Daphnia pulex: one gene and its partner. The protein of the gene in region 1 purifies or fractionates together with the protein of each later gene. This does not show direct contact. Links are inferred from orthologs where the notes say so. Each region holds a gene or a part of one and is shown on either strand. Other genes may lie near its edges.

The links. The genes of interacting proteins can lie anywhere in the genome.
Region 2: the proteins of protein Pixie-like (region 1) and protein LTO1 homolog purify together in Homo sapiens (affinity purification with mass spectrometry; 4 studies listed by BioGRID and IntAct, with this or other methods). This does not show direct contact. The link is inferred for Daphnia pulex from reciprocal best matches to the Homo sapiens genes ABCE1 and LTO1.

What each region holds. Positions count from the first base shown.
Region 1 is NC_060026.1:16,235,643-16,239,938, forward strand, and holds the start of protein Pixie-like, read right to left. Parts: upstream 2,847-4,296; 5' UTR 2,726-2,846; exon of another isoform or gene 2,683-2,725; intron 2,466-2,682; 5' UTR 2,454-2,465; coding exon 2,235-2,453; intron 2,175-2,234; coding exon 2,057-2,174; intron 1,992-2,056; coding exon 1,894-1,991; intron 1,824-1,893; coding exon 1,616-1,823; intron 1,555-1,615; coding exon 1,018-1,554; intron 958-1,017; coding exon 785-957; intron 721-784; coding exon 524-720; intron 448-523; coding exon 213-447; intron 115-212; coding exon 67-114; 3' UTR 1-66. UniProt on the Homo sapiens protein: Nucleoside-triphosphatase (NTPase) involved in ribosome recycling by mediating ribosome disassembly. Able to hydrolyze ATP, GTP, UTP and CTP. Splits ribosomes into free 60S subunits and tRNA- and mRNA-bound 40S subunits.
Region 2 is NC_060018.1:5,350,936-5,353,612, forward strand, and holds protein LTO1 homolog, read right to left. Parts: upstream 1,090-2,677; coding exon 565-1,089; downstream 1-564. Other genes in the region: probable methyltransferase-like protein 25, read right to left, coding at 1-550; HIV Tat-specific factor 1 homolog, read left to right, coding at 1,616-2,410; C-type lectin domain family 10 member A-like, read right to left, coding at 2,445-2,508, 2,569-2,677. UniProt on the Homo sapiens protein: The complex LTO1:YAE1 functions as a target specific adapter that probably recruits apo-ABCE1 to the cytosolic iron-sulfur protein assembly (CIA) complex machinery. May be required for biogenesis of the large ribosomal subunit and initiation of translation.

The DNA.
Region 1 (4,296 bases):
AATTTACAGAGAACTCTGCAGAAATCCGATTTAACGGAGCTCCGAGTGGCGGATCCAAACTTGTTTCTAATCTTCCAAGAAAAAGTAATTGCCCGATCTCTTCTGCTCCACGTCCTGTTTTCACCACACCAAAAGAACAAATTTGCATTTAGTTTAAGCCACACAATCCAGTTACTTGTGTACATCAAAAATAGAAAGAAAAAAACCCCAACCTTGACGGAGTTCTCCTTGTTGATTCGTGGCCGGTAGTTGTTGGGATCTCGGCGGAACGTAATGGCCAACAGCTCGAGAAAGCGGTTCATGCCGGGCAGAAGAGCTTGAGGAGCGTTGGCTCTTGACTCGATTGAAGGTTGGCCCTCAAAAACGATGACGCGGTCAGCCAAATAAGTGGCCATGATGAAATCGTGCTCGACGACAAACGCCGTCTTCTTGGCGTGCAGAATAAATCTAGTCAACCGACACCAATCCATTATTTTACATTTTATGACATTTACACGGATAAAACTGAAGGAATGAAAGTAACCTTTTAATAACTTTGGCTGCTACTAGACGCTGTTCGGAATCGAGATAGGCAGACGGCTCGTCGATGAGGTAAACATCGGCGGCTTTACCCAAACACAAGACGATGGCCAAACGCTGAAGTTCACCACCAGACAAATTCTGAACCTCCTGGTCGATAATGTCTTCAATTCTCAACGGCTTCATCACGTCCGCCACGAACTTGAGAGAAAATTGAATCATTAATTTTAACTTTTTAGAAGGAAAACAAGGGGCTTCCAAATACCTGCGGATGGGTGTAGGCATCGCGAACTTTGTCGTGGAGTAGAACGCGGACGGTACTTTGCGATTTTGGGCTAATCTTTTGCGGTTTGTAACTAATGTTGAGAGATGGAATTTCACCAGATCCAGCGTCCGGTGTCAGTGAACCAGCCATCAACCGAATCAGGGTTGTCTTGCCTATTGATTAGAATTTTAATTAAGAAATGAAACTTAAAATTACGGGTGAATAAAACGAACCTGTTCCATTTTCGCCGAGGAGGACGATAATTTCGGCGTCGGTAAAGGATCCAGTGTTGACGTTCAGTTTGAAATCGCCGAGTGTTTTGCTCATGTTTGGATATTCGTAATGATGAAGTCGCTTGACTTCTTCCTCGGTGGCCGATTCGGCCACACGGAAGACGAGCGATTCCTCGCGGAAACGCAAATTCTCCGTTGGCACGTAACCGTCGAGGAAAATGTTGATGCCTTCGCGGACCGAGAACGGGACCGTCACCACACCATAGACACCAGGAATTCCGTAGAGGCAGCAGATGAAATCGGACAAGTAGTCCAGAACCGACAAGTCGTGTTCGACGACGACAATGTACTTGGTCGGATGCAACAGGGAACGCAGAGCCTTGGCGGCGTTCAGACGCTGTTTCACGTCCAAGTAACTCGACGGCTCGTCGAACATGTAAACGTGAGCGTCTTGGATGCAGACAGTGGCGCAAGCAAAACGCTGCAACTCTCCACCAGATAAATTTTCGATATTTCTTTCGGTCAAGTGTCCAAGATCTGTTATTTTAAAATGATGTCAGTCTAATAAAATCGGCTGAAGGGTAATTTGTTTTATTACCAAGAATTCGTATCATTTCAGCTTCATTTCCGCTCTCAGCTTTGCGCTTGATCATCTCACCGACACTTCCTTTAACGGCTTTGGGAATCTGGTCCACGTACTGCGGTTTGATCACCGTCTTCAAGTCGTCCTCCAAAACTTTGGTAAAATAATTTTGGAGCTCGGAACCGCGAAAGTATGTCAAAATCTCGGACCACTCTGGAGGATCCTGTGCAATTAAACGAGATTTTGAATCGTTAAAGGGGCTCAATTGCTTGTTTAGTAAATGTTTGTTCAACCTTGAATCGGCCTAAATTGGGTTTCAACTTTCCTGCCAAAATCTTCAGGGCAGTGGATTTGCCAATACCATTTGTGCCGACCAGACCGAGAACTTCACCTAATTAATAAAAGTTAATTATTAAAAATAAATTTATTTTATGGCAATTGTTTGTGAATGCCTACCAGCACGGGGAGTTGGGAGTCTGTGGAGCTTGAATGAATTTTGAGAGTAGCGATGAGTAACTTGAGAGTCCAAGTTACTTGGCAAGTTGATGATGGTAATTGCTTCGAAGGGACATTTCTGAAATTAGATAATGCAATTAAAAGTCTATTTTTAATTGGAATGGGTGAAATTAATTACCTTGACGCAGATACCACAACCAATGCAGAGGGTTTCAGAGATGACAGCAATCCTGTCGGTAGGAGCTACCTCAATGCAGAGCTTGCCCATACGCACCACAGGGCAAGACTTTTTGCATTCCTGACGGCAACGTTTAGGTTTGCACTTATCCGCATTGATAATGGCTATCCTAGTGAGCTTGTCTGTTTCTTCAAAGGCTTTTCTCCTGGCTGCAGCCATTTTCTAGGCTTCCTGTACATCAACAACAGAAAAGGAGATGCTGTTAATAAATAGCTGCAGACCTACTTTCTCCTTCTTCAACAGCTTGCAGAGATACACATGAAAACTCACGTGTCACTGTCATGATTTTAAACGCGATAGTGACGATCTCGCAAAACTTGACAGTAATATTCACTAATTTAGACATTTTATAACTATGATTAAACAATAAAATCAACATATAATTTACTTAATTTGGCCAAAATTGAATACAGAAAAATAAGGCCACGTACAAGTTCCAAGTAAGCCGAAAGGACCGGAAAAGTAACCCCCGCAAGCTTTTCAACCAATTCGCCCACGGAGAAAGAAAGAAAAATTGCGCGGAATAACGATGGCGCAAATTTGATTCAATTTGAAAATCGTTTTCAACAAAAAATCATTGATTAATCAGTTTTGTTTTGAGTAGAATTTTTTCTACATACTTTGTTGAATTTTAAAAGAATTACTCTTACTTGCATGTAACAAAAAAAGCATTTTCTACATTTAACTACTTGAATTGTTATTGACAGTTTTGATTTGAAAATCTCATCTTATTACACAAGCAAAAGTAAGAATAGCTTTCAAAATTTTTTTCAGCCAGTAAAAACTGCTAATCTTTTAAGTTTCCAACTTCCAAACAACGATAAGGATTAAGGAAGCAAAATAATAAAATATACACCAGCAGACAGAAAATGTTTTCCTCTGAACAAAACTTGCAAACAATCTTGCAGGTTTTCTCATTTAATTTTTTCCGATATCTGTTAATTTAGAAATCGATTAATTGATCGTTTGCTAACATCATCAAAGCCTTTTATTTAAAACAATTAATTATATTGTGTTGAAACGTTCATAGATATTTCATGGTTCGTGCATTGTGCGCACTGGTAGTTCTGACACCTGTCACTACTCACCTGTGATAAAAATAATTAAACCAGATGGTTTGAGTTTGACTGCTGGAAGTCCATCTTGCACCACACAGCCTACCATCATCTTAAAATCGTCACACCCTTTGCGACTCATAATTACTACATAAAGTTCATTTACGATTAAAATGTTGGGAGTTGGTTAATGGCAATAAATAACAACAATTGGAGGTCAATTACGCAACGTTGATATGACACACCTTCATTCCTTGATCTCTACAAGGGAATTGGGTTCGGCAACCTAGGCCATTGACATAGAGGAAACCCAACAGAGGAACTCGGTGTGTGTAAACCTGTGTCTAATGCCGCACTGCAGCATTCGACGTTGGGGCCTAAATTCAAGGAAAATATCTGTTTCGATATAAATACGAACAAGTTTCCTGGAAGCCTGGAAGGAAAGAATGATAATTTCTTAGTCAAAATCTCGTTATGAGTCACACGCCATAGGTGAAATTCAGTAAAAACCTTAATGTGAATTCCACAAGATAAAATTGCTCTTGGAGAACTCAATGTCAAGCTTCTGTTTACTTCAAGGCTTTAAAGGGCATTCCTATCTGTCACCTGAATTAAATTGTTTTGCCTGAAGCTGAAGAATTAAAAAAAAAATCTTCTTTATTTTTTTTCTGTACAAAATTTATAACAACAAGAATTTTGTTGTACAGGTTTACAAACTTTATAACTCGTTGTAATCTTATCGACTGAGTGAACAAAAGATTTCTGAAGAAGAAAAACCACGTGGGGTTTACCAGACGTGAGGCTTTCTAGACGTTTCTCGAATCTCGACTCGCTATTACAAAGGCAAAAGGTGAACTATGATTTCACCGTTTCTTACAAGCAAGAATGCATTATTTACGAAAAAAGCAATAATGCAGAAAAAACTGAAACATTTCATTACATGATAT
Region 2 (2,677 bases), on another chromosome or scaffold:
CATGAGCGCTAAAACCGGCAGCATCGATACCTGAGACGTATAATCCGTGATTCAGTGATAGCATCGATGCTAGCGCTCCTTTTCCGCAACCCAAATCAACAATCAGTTTGCTATCAGTATAATTTGCAAACGATGCTATCGTATCGCAAAGGGCTCCAACCTCGTGAGATTTTTTCACCGTCATGAATTTATCAAAATGGATCAACGAAGTTAAGGGCTTTATATCCATCTCTTTCCACACTGACGGGAGATCATCAAGAACATTTAAAGAATCTAAATTATGTTCATCAATATCTTCCATTAGCTGGAGTAAATTTGAGGCAATGTGAACTGGTTTGCTTTTACTGATGTTCAGATAATCGTTGGGAAGCTCAGCAATCTGAGTATCGGAGAGTGCCATCAAATCTGACTGCAAATCTTGACTTAATTTTTCAAATACTTGATCAGTATAAAAGTGAACCATGTGTGTGTTTACAATAGGAAGAAATGGCTCCAGAAATGTTGACAGTGTTTTTAGAGCAGCTAGAGCTGTTTCTTGTTTTGTTCCCATATTGTATTTAGAAATCAAAAGTTCAGTTGATTATTAGCAGAATAGCTAGCATCAACTTTGAGGATAGCACAGCAATGCTTGAATTTGGCACGAATGTCTTGAAGTAAACTTACAATATCTTGATTTTTTGGATTTTCCTGTGGGAAACGTTCCAGCAATGTAAGCAATTTTTCCAATGCTTTGAGAGATTTTGAATCTGCCTCTTCTGTTTTATTTTTCAGTTCAATTTGATGTATCTCATGTACAACATCCGGATTTAAGGACACAGGGCACAATTCCAGTAGTTGTTTAAAAGCTTCACTCAAATCACCCGATAGCAAAGCAATCCAACTTTTAGCAAACCCACGATAGAAGAAAATTTCCGACCCAATTTCGCTGCCTTTTTGACGTCCTAAATCAAATCCTTCTTGAAATCCTGCTATTTCTCCTTGAAGTAATCCTTCTTCATAAGCTTTTGCCACTAAATTGTCTTCAGACACTAATAATGAATCAAAAGCGTCTTGAATATCGAAATCGCTTTCTTGTTTGTTCACAGCCATAGCAAGTGTAACGAATTCATCGTGAATTCATTTTAAACTAGAGAAAAATGAACAGTTAAGCCACGTTTTCAGTATGCGATGATTTAAGCAGACGAATTTCTGAAAATTAAAAACAAAAGAGCTCTATCTACCAACGGGTGTGTAAGCACGAAGCAGAGACCAGAGAGACTAGAGACAGATGACGCATCCCAAACAAAACGCTGCCGGTAACCGTTAATTTAAATAATGAAGAAAAAAAAATGAAATTAAAAATTAACACACAATTTATTTTATCTTGAGCATTTTTTAGACTTACGAGTTATGACTTATCTCCAAACAGTCCAAAGTCCAATCAGACAAAAGAGTGATTTTGCAGCAGGGCAATGCTGTTATGTGCTTTCTTGCAAAATGCAGAGTTGCAGACCACTTGTAAAAGAAATCGAAGTTGAAGTTTCAAAAAACGTTGTTCTTTTCCTTCGCATGGAAACAAACAGTTAAGAGTTAGTATCAATCGTACGTATAGAAGTGGATGTCGTAACAACTAAAAATGAATGCATCATCGTACTCGTACGAAGGTGATGTTTGCATCCATACAGATCCTGCGACGGGGTATCAATACAAGTGGAATGCTGAGGAAAAGAAATGGGAGCCCAATACTAAAATCGAGACACAAGTTACCGCTGATTCTAATGCCGAGGCAAAATACGAAAGGGTGGGAAATACTTATGTGTATAAAGATGAAAGTGGAAGACTTTTGGAATGGGATCTTGAAGCTAAAGAGTGGAAACCTAAACTTGAAACACAGACCATCAGAAGGATTGCCAAGAATCCTGATGAAGAGTTTGATTCATCAGATGAAAGCGGAGAAGAAAAATTACTTGAACAGAAAAAAAGTGTGATCAATCATCATGTTCATGTGAATAGTGATGGAGTGAAAACCTACACTGATCCCTCTGATGGAACTATTTTCGAATGGGATGAAGAAAAAAAAGCCTGGTTTCCAAAGTTGGATGAAGAATTTATTGCTCGATATCAGTTAAGTTATGGTGGAGAGGCAAGTACAGAACCAGTGGCTGAACTGGAGAAGAAAAAGGTAGAACCTCCACCGAAAATTGAGAAAAAGCAAGTCAGTGAGCCAAATTGGTTTGAAGTTGATCAAACCAAGAACACTAAAGTTTATGTCACCAATCTTCCCACTGAGATAAATGAAGAAGAAATTGTTGAGTTTATGCAAAAGTGTGGAATGATTGAAAAAGACTTGGAAACTGGGAAACATAAAATAAAGCTCTACAGAAATGAGAATGGACAGGTGAAAGGAGATGCACTTTGCACCTATATCAAGGTAAGTTTATGAAATCATATATTTTTTGGCCGATTCATTGCAAAATTTGGGCTGGAGTCGCCTTTGTTAATGGTAGTTCACAAATATAGTGGAGATTTCTGCATTGTAAGTATTTGTTATTAGAATCAATATCTTGTAAAACTGCTGAAAGGTTATACCTTGTACACAACTTGTGATTCCATTTATGTGATTGTTCTGGATCCATGTAAACACAGTGCCATTCACGTAAACGCCCTTCCGTCAGCTCTCCAAAGCCCAAAAAATTCA